Linked DNA regions of Caenorhabditis elegans. The protein of the gene in region 1 interacts with the protein of each later gene in a pairwise test. Each region holds a gene or a part of one and is shown on either strand. Other genes may lie near its edges.

Evidence for each region.
Region 2: the proteins of Y38C1AA.7 (region 1) and wdfy-2 interact in a two-hybrid assay, tested with the Caenorhabditis elegans proteins (one large-scale study listed by BioGRID).
Region 3: the proteins of Y38C1AA.7 (region 1) and B0034.1 interact in a two-hybrid assay, tested with the Caenorhabditis elegans proteins (one large-scale study listed by BioGRID).

The regions. Positions count from the first base shown.
Region 1 is NC_003282.8:157,341-160,364, forward strand, and holds Y38C1AA.7 (DUF7087 domain-containing protein), read left to right. Parts: upstream 1-1,621; 5' UTR 1,622-1,687; coding exon 1,688-1,768; intron 1,769-2,043; coding exon 2,044-2,442; 3' UTR 2,443-2,496; downstream 2,497-3,024. Other genes in the region: gegf-1 (EGF-like domain-containing protein), read right to left, coding at 415-550; Y38C1AA.19 (RING-type domain-containing protein), read left to right, coding at 2,824-2,872.
Region 2 is NC_003280.10:9,317,915-9,322,492, forward strand, and holds wdfy-2 (WD repeat and FYVE domain-containing protein 2), read left to right. Parts: upstream 1-1,950; 5' UTR 1,951-1,963; coding exon 1,964-2,027; intron 2,028-2,098; coding exon 2,099-2,300; intron 2,301-2,355; coding exon 2,356-2,702; intron 2,703-2,873; coding exon 2,874-2,991; intron 2,992-3,111; coding exon 3,112-3,471; intron 3,472-3,517; coding exon 3,518-3,674; 3' UTR 3,675-3,964; downstream 3,965-4,578. Other genes in the region: csa-1 (WD_REPEATS_REGION domain-containing protein), read right to left, coding at 1-203, 259-450, 679-912, 957-1,043, 1,088-1,234, 1,515-1,558; Ras-related protein rab-39, read right to left, coding at 4,154-4,297, 4,347-4,460, 4,511-4,578. UniProt on the Caenorhabditis elegans protein: Plays a role in coelomocyte endocytosis.
Region 3 is NC_003280.10:5,966,476-5,973,276, reverse strand, and holds B0034.1 (Glycine rich superfamily member), read right to left. Parts: upstream 4,782-6,801; 5' UTR 4,774-4,781; intron 4,737-4,773; coding exon of another isoform or gene 4,567-4,736; intron 4,520-4,566; coding exon of another isoform or gene 4,452-4,519; intron 4,408-4,451; coding exon of another isoform or gene 4,309-4,407; exon of another isoform or gene 4,308-4,308; intron 4,259-4,307; exon of another isoform or gene 3,746-4,258; intron 3,175-3,745; 5' UTR 3,167-3,174; coding exon 3,124-3,166; intron 2,313-3,123; coding exon 2,157-2,312; intron 1,681-2,156; coding exon 1,501-1,680; intron 1,302-1,500; coding exon 1,176-1,301; intron 1,074-1,175; coding exon 814-1,073; 3' UTR 615-813; downstream 1-614. Other genes in the region: B0034.5 (G-protein coupled receptors family 1 profile domain-containing protein), read left to right, coding at 1-27, 71-155, 311-421; B0034.4 (uncharacterized protein), read left to right, coding at 4,309-4,407, 4,452-4,519, 4,567-4,736, 4,782-5,050, 5,098-5,142.

The sequences.
Region 1 (3,024 bases):
ACGTCATTTCGAAAAATAAACCATTGAATTACCTGATTCTGAAAAATTTTCTATAAAAATTTTTGAAGAAGTTTCTGGAAGCTAAACGATTCTAAAATTTTCCCGATTAGAAAAGAGGATCTAATAAAGTTCTAGAGGATTCTAAAATATTTTGAAGTTTATTGAAAATTTCTAAAAACTGCCAGGTGGTCTCTAGCAATGTTGAGAACTTTTTTTAAAAACTTTCTGGACTGTCCTAAGAAACTAGAACATTCTGAAATTTTCTGATACTTCTTGGATTTTTTTGGAGCACTGTGAAAATTCCAAAAAAATTCTGAAACTTTCTAAAACTTTCTGGGACTTTCCAAAATGTTTTCTAAAAAATTCTAAAAAAATTCTAATATTTTCTTAACTCATCTTTATTATATATTTTACCTGAAATTTCAACTTCTCCTGAAATTGTCTTATTTCCCACATCGTCCACTTCAATCACGTGCACTTTTTCGGCATGAATCCACGTGACCAAGACCAGGAAAATTCCAAAAATTGTCGCGGAGGTTTTAACAAACATTTTTTTTATCTGAAAGTTGATTTCTTGGAACTTTTCATGATGACAATTGACAAAAAAGTGGTAGATATTATTCCCAAAACACTATACATATTAGAATACAAAATCTAAACAAAAAAATAACGACACAAACACAAAAGTAACAATTTGGCGTGGTTACGTAACAGTTTTGTGCCCCTATTCCACCTTTGCCCCGTGAGGGTGGGCCGGTTTTAGGGGGATAAATTAGGGAAAAAAGTCAGGAAGCGTGTCGAAATCGGCGAGATCCAAAAAACCAGATGATTATATAATAGGAGGGGTGGTTGTTTCGAGGATACTCTTTTGGTCAGATTTATTGTATTTTAGTTAGGCTATATACTTGATGGCTAAAGTAGTTCTGAAGATGGTTCAGAACAATAGGAACAATTGTCGAAAAGTTCCAGTTTCTAGCATTTCGGCTAGTAAATTGTTGGTGTTTAACAGTAACAAAATAGTAACTTGTGGAAAAAACCAACCGATGGAAGTGATTTCGTGAGCTACAAACTACAATTCTACAAACTGCAATTTTCACAGATTTCGAAATATAATATTACTATAAACTATACCCATGCAATCTAGAATTTTCAGATTAAACAAATTAAACCAAAACTGTTACGCGAGTTACAGATTGAATACTACCAATTAGAAATTAGAAACTGTAAACTACAAACCACAAACTACAAACTACAGACCTGAAGTTGATAACTATAGAGTTGAGACAAGAGACTGAAACGTGCAACTCCACTTCAAAAACTTTTCCTAACAACTGAAATCTATAAAGTTGAAGCTACGGAAGTGCAAACTACAAACTACAAACTAAACTATGAAAGCGTACCCAATACATTGTTTAATATGTCCTAGAGTTCCTGAAAATGGCAGAAAACTAGGAATTCAAAAATGGCCGTGAAACAAAAAAGTTATAATTTTCAATTTTTTAATTTTTTAAAGGGTTTTCAAAAAATAAAATAATTTCACGCATCGGCCCGACAATTCCCTATCGCCACGTTTAATCTGCCCCAGTTTCGTCCGTATAAAAGCTCGAAAAAATGTGAAATCAAATCAGTCTCTGCTCGAATCATCACCGATTTTCTACTCGCTCGACAACGATCTCTCGCAGCTACAATGGATCAAATCCCACCATACGAGTTCAACAAGTACGTGCTCTACGTCCGTGGTGCCGTCATCGTCTGTGCTTCATTTGAGGTATGTTTGGGGATTTCTGGGAGGTTTTGTAAAGATCTCGCCCTGACCAGGTCTTTCCTTGGGGATTTTAATACAAGCGTAGAAGATTTTCTGTGTGGGCAATGAAGGGTAATTGCCGGTTCGCCGAATTTCCCGATAATTTGAAAACGGCAATCTGTCGGCTTTGCCGTTTGTCGGAAAACTCCATTTTCGGCAATTTTCAGCATTCCGAATTTTCCGTTTGCCGGTCATCCCTAAATGTAGCCTTTTTCATCTAAAACCTTTATAATTTTCAGCTCCTGTTGGTCCTATTCGGTTCCCTCGAAGATTGCAACTTCCTTGCTAAGCTCTTCTACTTCATCTTCCTTGGCGGAGCAGTTGCCATCTCAGCTCACAACATTGGTCTCAACGTGGATGGTCGCGAGGAGCTCAACAAGGTTCTTTCATCGTCAGAGAATGAAGTTCGTGGAAAGTCTGCTGCCTTGATTCTGGTGCCAGCGCTCTCCGGTGTCCTCGTCTTCTTATGTGTCTCTGGACATGCATTCTTCTCGCTTTTCGTGCTCATCCATGTGCTCGCCGCCGTTGGACAACTCGGAATTGAGGTTTATGAGTTGAAGAAGGGACAATCTGGAGGTTCTGCACGAGGTGCTGCACCGTCAGCACAGGATCCAGCTGCTGCTCCACCAGCCCAATAGACGAAGAAAATAAATCTGATATAAATGGAATAAATTGGAGTTTTTATTATTATTCTCGTTCAGATTTTTGTTTTGTATTTTCTTGAGATCGAACAGAGGCTCCCTGAAAAAAACGTTACAGGTCAGCAAAATATTTTTCTACTTCCGCGTATTAAAGAATTCTTGTCCGAAATAGAGAGGAAGTTTCGTAACACGTTTCGTAAGATTTGCCGTATATCATCTCGCGTAGTTTCGAGCAATTCTAAAAAATATTGTCAATTTCCATTCAGAATTTCTCAGTTTCCTCAGTTTTCCTAAGTTATTTTCTTATCGGACTCCTTATCAGTCGTCAATAAAATGGTAGGTGCTTACCATTTTTGCATTTTGTAATTTTCTGTAGACATGTCTTTGTGTCGCACATTTTTCTGTGTGAAGTGTTCACAATTCTTCGGTAAGTAGCAATTTAATTAAGTTTTGTTTAACTTATTAAACTTGGTAATATATTGTAGATATTTCATTAAAGGTGGAGTAGCGCCAGTGGGGAAATTGCTTTAAAACACGCCTATGGTACCACAATGACCGAATATCATAATAAAAAAATTC
Region 2 (4,578 bases), on another chromosome or scaffold:
AAAACCGAATGATCGTCAGTTTTTCAAAATTCGTTGCCACATAAAAATCCTTCTCATATATAAATTCCAAATTTGGACGACGCTGCATAAGTGGATCGAATTCACAGGAAAAATCAAATTTTGTGCTGAAATCCCACGTATCTGCCACATGAATGTACCCCGATCTATCGGCAGAGATGAGACGATGTCCATCGGCAGATATTCTGGAATTTATGAGATTTAGAATACCTTCAATTTAAAGTTTTGAAAATAAAGTACTTTAGTCCATAAATTTGTGATTTGTGAAGAGATTTCTCAGCAATTGCTCCACGTGTGCTCCGAATATCAAATAGTCCAATTGTTCCATCTCGTCGTCCTGCATATAAGTAATGATGTTTTGATGGATACCACTGTACAACATCAATTGGTTCATCATTCCAATATATCGATTGAGGTAGATCCATTCCGACTCTGAAATGATATTTATTTTGAAATATAAAATGTTAATTAATTTTAATTAAATTTTAAATTTTGAAATAATTCATAAAAATTTAAGACAAGAGGTTCGACCAGGGGAAATTGTAAGACCAAAGTTTTAGAAAGTTAGGCAGTCATAACAAAATATAGCTCTTGTTCAATACAAGATCCACTAGCCTTCAGGCACGTAGGCAGGCATTTCGTGGAACTTTTAAAGCTTACCTAAAATCTATAATTTTCATTGATCTCCCTCCATCTGCCACGGCAACTTTTGAATTTGTCATATTATACTCATTCCAATCAAAATAAACATCTCCTTCAAATTGTTTCCCATGAACCACTTTTTCCATGGTACTATCACAAACTCGCATCCAATTTGATGCTGTTGTAACCATGAAAAGGCGAAGATCGATTGGACACCATTTTATTGTTTTCAGAGATTGCTTCGCAAGTTTTCTGAAATCTTGATAAATTTTAGAATTATTGCGGTTGTTACATACAGAGTCATAGGTTTCTTCCACTTTTTACGATCCAAGTATTTATATTTGGCAACTGACACTGAACCACTATGAGATCCAAATAGTAGCCTGAAAAATCAATTTTTTTTAAACAAACTCCTAATTAAACCAACATTTGGTCACCATCATCTATATCAATCGCACTAATATCTTCTTGATGGCCTTTCCCCGTCTGATCACAACCCATAGGAATATGTTTTGTCCATCGAAAATTCAAAAGAGCCCGTGAAACTTGTTGTTCTTCGAAAACTCGGCGTTTTCTGCAAAAAATTTCAAATATAACTCAAATTTTAAAAAAAATTAGTACAGTAAGAAAATCTAGGCCTGTAAATTCATAAAAGTTTAAAGTCGTTGCGGGACCCGTCTGGTTTTCTGACTCTTGCGCCTTGAAAAAATTGCGGTACTGTCATTTATTTTCTTTATTTGCGCATTTTAACATTAAATTTCTCTATTTTTCTCGTTTGTTTTAAATTTTAATTATGCATTTGCACTTTTTTTTCAAAATTATTACGAAATTCACATAAAAACCGCAAAACTCACTTCAAATCACAGCTGAACATGTACTCCTCGTGACGAACAGTCATTTTCCTGTTGAGAAATTATAGAAACATGCGAATAAATATATTACGATTAAATAAAAAGCTCAAACGTTGCTGTTAATTTGAATATCCTCCTTAAAACAGCCAATGGCCTAGAGTCCACCAAACAAGTTCATTCTCGGCCGCACCGGTTTTCCGTTATTTACCGGGCACTGATTCATCTGTTTCCAGACCGGTTGCAAAATTAGTTTGATAAAAATTTCAATTTCCACAAGGAAATATTTAGTTCAGAAATAGTAACAAAAGTAAAAAAGGTGCAGAAGTGTAAACAAACGGGCGAGAACACGTGGTTTTATCGATTTTTGCTTTAAACATCTGCATTCCGTCCTCTAAACTTTATGTGTCATTTATTGGCATTCAATTTGATTTTCTTTCAGATTTTCAGCCATTATGGCTGCAATAATCAATCAACGCGTCGAACAGGGCGAATCAAGTATGGGAGGAGCCAAACCAGGTTGGTGAATTGAAAACGAACCATTTGATTTCCATAACCTGTGTAATTTTCGAATTTATTTTAATTTTCAGCTCTTCTTCACAGAATCACTGGCCACGTGGCTCGTATCAATGACGTCATTTTACTATCAAAAGACGAAGGAGTCTGGACTGCAAGTGATGATAGATCCGTTCGCCTGTACTTAAAAAGAGATAATGATCAATTTTGGCCGTCAATTCATCATTTCATGCCAGTTGCTCCAACAAGTCTTTATTACAGTGAAGAAACTTATAAGTTAGTTTAAAGTTTAAATCGTTTTATTTTTTAAATTTTTAATTTTTTTATTCAGGCTGCTCGTCGGACTTATCAATGGAAATGTCTATGAATTCAGTGTTGCCGATGACTTTAACAGTATGACAGAATCCCGAAAATGGACATGTCACGCTGGACCAATCTCTGGACTCGGCTTTGCACTCTCCTCCGAGCTCATTTTCAGCTGTTCTCGAGATAAATCTATCGTCTGGCATTGTTCAGAAAATTCAAATAAGATGGGAAGTTATCTTTTGGAAAATAGTTGTACAGCAATGGTCATTGATCTTCCATTTGTATTCGTTGGAGATCATGGTGGGCATGTCACTGTTCTTCGTATTGTCGATAATCAACCAAATCTTGTCAGCAAGCTTAGTGCACATACGAGTGAGTTTTTATCGTATTCTTTTTTTTTGAGTAAAATATTAATTCGAAATTTTAAATGCTATCGTGCCTAGGAAAAATATTTGTTAAGTATAACATTCCAGTATTTCCTGAAATTCCCCACAATCAATACAATTAGTAATTGTGGTTTGAATTAGTTCAATGATTTTTCAGATGCAATCACCTCGCTCACATGGGACGGAAATAAGAAAGTTTTGTATTCTGGAAGCAGTGATCATCTCATCATAATGTGGGATATCGGAGGAGGAAGAGGAGAAGCTTATGAGCTTAAGTGAGTGTATATTTCTGGAATTTACGTGATATTTCGAAAGTGTTGATGTTTTTCGAGCGCAAAAGTTGAATTATATTTAGTTGAAATAGATTTTTCCAAATTAAAAAATGTTTTTTTCAGCGGACACAATGGAAAAGTGACAACACTATGCGCAGCTCCAGCAGCCAAACGTCTGTTCTCGGCTGACGAACACGGAAAGCTCATGTGCTGGGACATGAATTGCAAGAGAGTTGAGACTCCTGAATGGAAAACTTCGGATTGCTGTCAGAAATGCAATCAACCGTTCTTCTGGAATCTTCAAGCAATGTGGCAGAGGAAAGTGGTCGGATTGAGACAACATCACTGCAGAACCTGTGGATCAGCAGTCTGTGGATCTTGCTGTGACAACTGGACCACCTATCCACCAATGGGATATGAGACGAAAATTCGCATTTGTAATGACTGCAATGCACGAATGAAAGATAATCCACAGAATTTCAAGTAAGTTGTAAAGCAAATGACTGATGAAACTTATTTTCAATTTTAGCCTTACTCCACTTGCAATTCCACATGAAATCCATACTGGAATCACTGCTATGCATCTCCAGGAAACTCTCGGACTTCTAGTTACCAGTGGACAGAATCGTGTGATTATGATTTGGGATGTTCGAAGTGTTTGCTCTGCCCCTTCTGGATCACAATAAACAATTGCTTCTACTTCTCGAATTTCTCATAATTCTTTGTATTTCATCTAATTTATTTCCTCTCCTTTCTATTTTGTATATTCACTCTCAAAATGCCCATCCTTCCCCAAGACCAATTGTTGTCAAATCAAGACCTTCTAAAACTTACCAATATTTCCCGATACCCCTGACAGGTTGTCCTGAATAGTGATTGTGATTCTTACTTTTCTTCTAATCCCGATAATTTCCTAGTTTTTCGACTGTAAAATTGTATTTTTACAACAAAGTTTGAAAAAAAATCTTTTTTTTTGAAGTTTTTGGACAGAACGACTAGAAATTATTTCAAAAGAATGCATGCCGGGAGAGTAGGTGAGGTTGGTGACACTGGATGAAGGAGAAAGCTCACAGGAAGTACACAAAATAGCTGAGTTTTTGATGTTTATAAGAACGCTACGCGAAATTATGACTACGGGGAAAATTAAAAAATTGAGGAGAAATTATCAACATCCGCAAGCTCCTGCGCTGCTGTTTTGAGGGAAACTTCTTTCGGATAGGCACACGGATTGTGACCTCATAATACCAGTTTTAAGGCCTTCCCAGCCATCCACGGGCCGCAGTTCTCCGTCGTCGACTCGATTTTGAATCTAAAAATTTGAAAATTACATCATAAAATTGAAACATTTTCAAAAAAACCTCTTGTGCAATCATATGAAAAGCTTCATTAACATTGTCTCCTGTTCTCGACGACGTCTCGATAAACTTCATTTTATGGTACTTGGCAAAGTACTCGCCTTCCTCATAGTTTACCTGAAAGCTTTTAACCAATTTTTTAAACACAACTTTTGTTCAAAAATTACCTGTCGCTGTGAATCCATATCACTTTTTGTTCCGACTAATTGGAAGACACACTTCGATGGGCTTGGAC
Region 3 (6,801 bases), on another chromosome or scaffold:
CATTGATATTGAGTCATTGCAAACACGGTAGTACTGGAAAATACTATTCAAATTTATAAAAACATTTCAGGTTCTTGGAAGAGTACATGTTATCCGCTGATCTTTCTTCAGTTCTGGTAGTGACTGCTTGTGCACTTCGACTCCCAATATATATGGTAAGTGATTATAAATTTGAATTTGTCAGTTCGAAATTTTATTGTAACAATCCTCAAATTTACTGGCTGAAACGGGACGTTGCAAATGTTTTCAGATGTTTCTTTAGAGATATAAACTGTAACACAAAATCAACTCATACTTTTTTTCATTTCAGCTGTGCAATCCGGAGCTTCGAAGAGCTGTAAAAAAGTCATTCACTCATAAAAGCGAACATCAACAAAAGATGCATCAAACCTTTTCTCTGATTGCAAAGATTTTAGTTTAATAGTTTCAATTCTATGTATGTAATTCAATTGTTTTAACTGTGATTTGTAATTCCAAATGATCAACGGGTCATCGGTTTTTTTCACAATTGTGACTAAATTCTTATAAATATGTAAATTTCAAGTGTAAGCATGACGTCACATAAGATGTGATTCTTTCTGCGTAACAATACCATTTCATAGTTCACTGCGTATTTTTGTTGCTGGTCATAAAGATTTATTCATAAAGCTGTGATTCTGCAATTTTTTTGACAATTCAACTTAAATTATTCAAAAAGGGCAGCGTAAAAGATCAAGAACTATTTAAATATTTACAAAACCCGTAGAAAGGTCATGAAAATCTATGTAAGGGAATGTTTGAGAAAATATATAAAGATGGGAGAATTAAGATAATCTAGGCAAACTCTATAAGCCCTGGCAACTCTCGTGGTCGACTTGTTTGTGCCGTGAATAAATCCTCAGTGAACTCCTCTCTTGGCTCTTTATCGATACTGAACTCGACAGATTTTCTGGGGATTTCTCCATTGTTTGGCCCAATGAATTCAGTTTCAGAAGAGGAAGAGGATGATGAAGAAATTCCAGCTTCTCCTTCTTTTGGCCTCATTTCTCCAGTTACTTCTGGAATTTGTTCACCTTCTGGGAACCATGGGCGAGCTGAAAGAAAATTGTGTGAAAGGAATGTGAAACAAATTTAAAAAACATAGAGCTCCTGTTTTAACAAATCCCCACTGTTTCAATAAATATATAATCACATACGTCTATGTCTTCCTCCATTTTCACTTTCAGATCTTTCAGTACCAATTAAAGTTGGTGGACGAGTGACTCCCAATGAGAATGGAGGTGATGGAGGTGGTTGTTGAGGGGGCATTGGCATTCCACGACCTGTAATTTTTTATTTAAGATAGAAAAAGTTCCAGAGAAAGAAGAATTATAGATGTTCAAAGTTCATATGATGTACGTGTTAAACTTGAAATGGAAAACAAAGACATTGATGCTTGATCAAGATAACTTTATGAACAGATGATTTTCCTTTTGAACGATTAGCTTCTGCTTTCCAGAAAATTCCTATAGTCAAACTTACCCAAAAATGAGAAAAAGTTTTTGACATTATCCATAAAACTTCCAAACTGTCCGGCTGGATGACCAGGATTTGGCTCATTTCCAAATTGCACCTGACTTCCCATTTCAACACCTTCACGTCCTCCACCAATTCCCCCATCAACTCCAACACGTTGTCCGCCGACAAGAGCTCCATTATTAGCTGAAAAAGGAAATTATTGAATATTACATCAAAGGCAAAATACAGTAAATTTAAATGAAAATTATTAATGAAAAGAAAGTTAGATTGAGAAGTCCATACTGTTAAAAAATGTTATAATTATAAATAAAAAAAATAATTATATCTAACTAATAGTAAGATTGTTAAATTTTTAATAATTAATACATGCTAAATCAATTATAAAAATAAAAGTTGGGTACAACTTAAAAATAACTTCGCATATAAAGTAATGGGAAGTCTTCAAAACCTTGGTTTGAATCTAATAGTAAGCCAGTAATCAACACATTTTCAAAAGAAAACTGTAATGACTCGGTCATCTTTCGAGCAGTAGGAGCTATTCAACATATAACAATTTACCGATTGGGCATGCAGCCAGGCCTACGTTATTAAATCTGTACACGAAGAGTTCTTAGTCTTTAGAGTTTTGCAATTTTGTTGTTAAAAGTGTTAATACTCACATCCCAAAGCAAATCCAGCTCTGTTACCAGCTAAATTAAAGCTACGATCACCTCCAAATCCTAAAATATTTGCTCCTTGTCCCATTCCCATGTCGAAGCCGCCATTGTTCTGCTGAGGATGGAGAAAGAATGATCCGAGATTTATTTGAGAAGAGCCTGTAAAATTGAATAATACGAGTGAATTATAGTGAGGTCAATAGTTAATTTCAATAGTAAATTTTTGTATTATTGATCTAACTCTTTAGTTTAAAGCTGAAAAACCATAATTTTACTTATAGGGTGATAAAATGGATGAATACCGTATTGAAAAATATTTAAAAAAAACTGAAATTTTTCCTTTACAGATAGAGTCAAAAAGTGGAAATTGATTTCTATTACTTTTGACCACACATGATTTTGGAAGCCGATCAAAGAAAATTTGCAAATAATTTCGATTTTAATTTTTTGCGATCCTAATTCGAACGTTGTAAGTTTCTGAATATGCAGCATTTCTCAAAAAAAAATGCAGCATTTCTCAAAAATTTGGTGATTTTCCTTGTGCTTCAGAAGCTTCAGAAAGCTTCAGAAGATCTTGTTTCAATGATTTTTAAAATACACACACACTCCCCATTAGCCATCATATGAGACCCACCCGCCAAACTGTCTGCTTCACCCGTTTACCCCCTTTTCTGATCATGTGTTTTGTCCTCTGTTACGGTCATCTATTCATTACACACATACAACATTTTTGCCTCCTTTTTGAATTCTTTATTCCATTGTTCAAAGAGTGCCTGACTCATTACAACCTCGTTTATACTTTCAAACAAATGAATTTCTTGTCACTCTCAAATTGGGAAGGTGTGGGTGGTTTCAGAGATTAACAAGGAAAAGCATCATTAAGTGTATAACGTGACTGTTGTTGTCTTAAAAGTGATGTCAGAGTGAAGACAATAGTGATTCGGGAGGAAAATTATATGAAGATACGTACCTTGTTTGATTGATAACAGTAGTATTAGAAGTGTTGATTTCATTCTTGATGCTGAAAATGTTCAACTTTAAATTTTAATACTTTTAATATGTAACAGCAAAATTGAAAACCTAGAAAATAAGATAACAGTTTTAGAAAAACTACATAATATTCTATAGTTTCAAAATTTTCAAATTTAGATTTCAGATGCAAAAAAATTGACTCAGAAAAATGAAATTCTAAAATAACTTCAATTGTAAAATAGAAAGAATTTTACTTTAAAAAAATTTGAATCTTTTAATCAGTTAATTTGGACTGAAGTCAAAGCATTGAAACGATTCAAAACTATAACTGAAAAGTCAGCCAATTTTATGAGCGAAATGAAATTGAAAGGAAAAAGTTATACTAGTATCTGTACTAAATAAGATGAAAGTAGTATAAATTGAAAGAAATCACTTTCAGTTGGACGAAGAAGCGAGAAAAAAATGTAGAAGAGCGGTTTGGTCACTTTTATGAAAAGTATTCGCTATGAAACCATGTAACGAAACAAGGCGGACCGAAGGAATTGACCTTGGTCACCTCGTATTCTCGAAAATGATGGACGATACAAACTGAAACTGATTGAAGGCTGTGAAAGGGGCAGAGAAGAAGAGAATGACTGCCCTCCCCTGCTACTACTTCTGATGCCATTTTACACCTATTGTATTGTTGGCCCCAATTTGCATTTACAAACAACGAGATTGAAAAGGAATTTGAAATGAGGAGAAGAAGGTGGAGATAGATGACTTGGAGGCTGGATGTTTGGGAGACTAAAAACACCAGGTTTCACACTTTTTTTTGCTGATTCTAGAATGATGGGAAATAGAATATGATTAGTAAACAAGATCGTTTGTTAAAAAAAAGTCCAAGGAAGGTATGCCCATTGGTTTTTTTATGCTAAGATTTATTTAATCAATCTGATTCTATTAACAATGTTAAAGTTGAAACCATGTTCAATATTTTTTTTTTGAGCATTAAAAATATCCATATTCACCGTGAAAACTAAAAAGCTAACACTAAGATTTTTTTTGCTCGTTTCTTTCTACACGTGAAGGGAACAAATCCAGAAAAGCCATCATTTTGTAAAATTACGAAGTCACTTTTGATAGTTTCGTATGTGAGTTAAATTTTCTTGTTTTCTTAAGAAATACACTTGGCAATTACAGAATGTTATCTCTAACAGCTCATTTGGTTTTAATTAGCACAATCATCGTCAAATGTTCTGCTTTCTCCAAAAAGCCCAGCGAGAGAGCCAAGCCTGCAGCCGTAAGTAGCTATTATGATTTGAGATTCAAAAATAATGTTTTTAGGTGAAAAAAGCTGTGGAAGATAAGCAACCAGTGAAAGTGACAGCTTTCGAACAAGCTTCTTTGAACGAGTGAGTTATCTGAAATGTGAGCGCTCAACAAATCTTAATATTTTTAGAGACAAGGCTGAGGCGATGTCAAATATTGAGCCATCTCCCAAGATCTCAAACTCCACCGTGCCTACAGCTCCTACTCCAAAGAAGGAAAAGAAGGTGGTGGCCACAACCAAAAAAACGGAAAGATCTGTAGCTCAGGGACCACCGCTAGTTTCGGAACATATTAAAGATGGTAAGAATTAAAAAACAAGTATGAAATAATTAGTTACCGTTTCAGAGAAGAAAATGCCATCGGTTCATAAGCCAATTCGAAAAGGATCGATTTACGCGAATGAATTATTGACTGAAAAACCATTGACTGACACTGAACCAGAACTTCATCCAGACAATCATGTTGTGAAGGCCAAATCGCCAAAACCAGTTGCTCGAACTCCAACTGCACGCCATCGTAATGCTCTGAAACCAGGAAAAATCAATGATAAAAGTGATGATACACTTCATGATGCTCCATCGATTCAGAAAGTAGGAGGTCCCAGTTATGAAGATGTGAGTGATTTGTTGATATTCAAAATAAAAAATAAAAATAGTTACAGGCAGCTTCTGTCAACGAAAAAGAAAAAGATGTCAATCCGAAATGAATCAACGAAGGAATGAGCTCGAATAAAAATGTATTGCCCTTTGAATACGATTAAGTCAATAAAATGTTTGCTGTATTCTTGTTGTAAATCTCATTGATTTCTCGTGGTTAAAAATAAATTCTAACTTCGAGAATCGATTGAAGAACTCATAACTCACAATCAGATCGAAAAGGAGGCTACAGTTTCGGGAATCAGCTTTCAAAAATCGGAAGGCGACGATGGTGGCGTCTCCCATAACAGCATCAACCTAACCAATTGGCAAACAGTAAAAATCTAAAATATATTTGTAACTGTTCTCCCAGTTGGTCCCCAGAAACAACCAAGAGGTGAGCTACCATGATGAACATTGCGAAGCAAGATAAATAGTGAAAATATGAGATTATTAGAATATTATTCATTTATTTCCATCTTTCCATGTTTCTGTCTCACATACACACTTCAGTCATCACCGATTATCCATTTGAGAGCACATTTATGCTTTGACGCTTCACGATGTTATCCTAAATGGCAGGGCCATCTGTCATCGGTTCATGCTCATATTGGCTCAAGTTGCGAGAGAGAAATATGGTGTTTGATGATCGGTGTATGTGTTATTCGACTCATGTTTTAATAGTTAGTCGTGATTGAATGAAAAGTTTAAAAATAATGTTTCAAAATCAGATTGATATCTTCGATGGGTATTTGACATTCAGTAATTATAGGTTAGAAAAATTATTCACATTATTTTTTTCAAATGGAGTTTCAAAATAATGGCCACACAAAAGCTATTTATATATATATACAATTTAAATCGTCTTCTGAGAAATTTTAATAATAGTAAGTTGCGCCGAGTTTAACACAAAAATCAGAAAATTAAAATTTAAAATCAATTGAATTGGAAAATACAACAATTTAAAAAAAAAATCTTCTGAAAAACCACACAATACATATTCGAGACCTATATCCAATTAAAACTTAAGAGGTTTTGCTTTGATGTTTACCACTTCTTCTATTCAAATCTCAGCGTAACTCTGTCAATCACACATTTCCCGATTACGTAACTTTGTCATTTTTTGAATGATGTAGATAATAGTCATCTGCAGGAACAATTTCCACCCTCAACAAATGCAATAAAATGAAATATGACCTCTTTTGATGAAGAAAAAGTGGAAGATCAAGTGTCTCGAATTTCTCGAAAAACAATCCAATCAAACTAAAATTTTCCACATCCGACCTTCGCAGGAATTTGAAAAAACAAATGAGGTCCTCGGGGTCTCCCATAGCAACTCACTCTGCGTCTCTTCCTCTCACGCACTGTCTCCCCAATATTTCGTAACTCTTGTCTGCGTCTCGTGCTCTCTACTTCTGACATCCGGAGCCGTCGGTCCATGCGTGCGCGAATTCGTATGTCTGGGCACTCTTTCTCCTCTTCCAAAGCCATGAAACCTTTTCCCATTTGTCCTTTCTTTCCATTTGGTCTCTTTGGTGGTCCCTTTTCTTATATATCCTTCAAATTGTAGTATTTGTTGTTAAGATTGATCTGAAGCTTTCCAAAAATGTTGCAAGTTATGTTTTCAATTGATACATATTTTTGTTTGAGTTGTTTTGAACATTTTTGGGGAAAGAAAGCTTTTTCCTCTGACGATAAATTTGTGTTCTGAAAAATCTTAAACCCTTTGT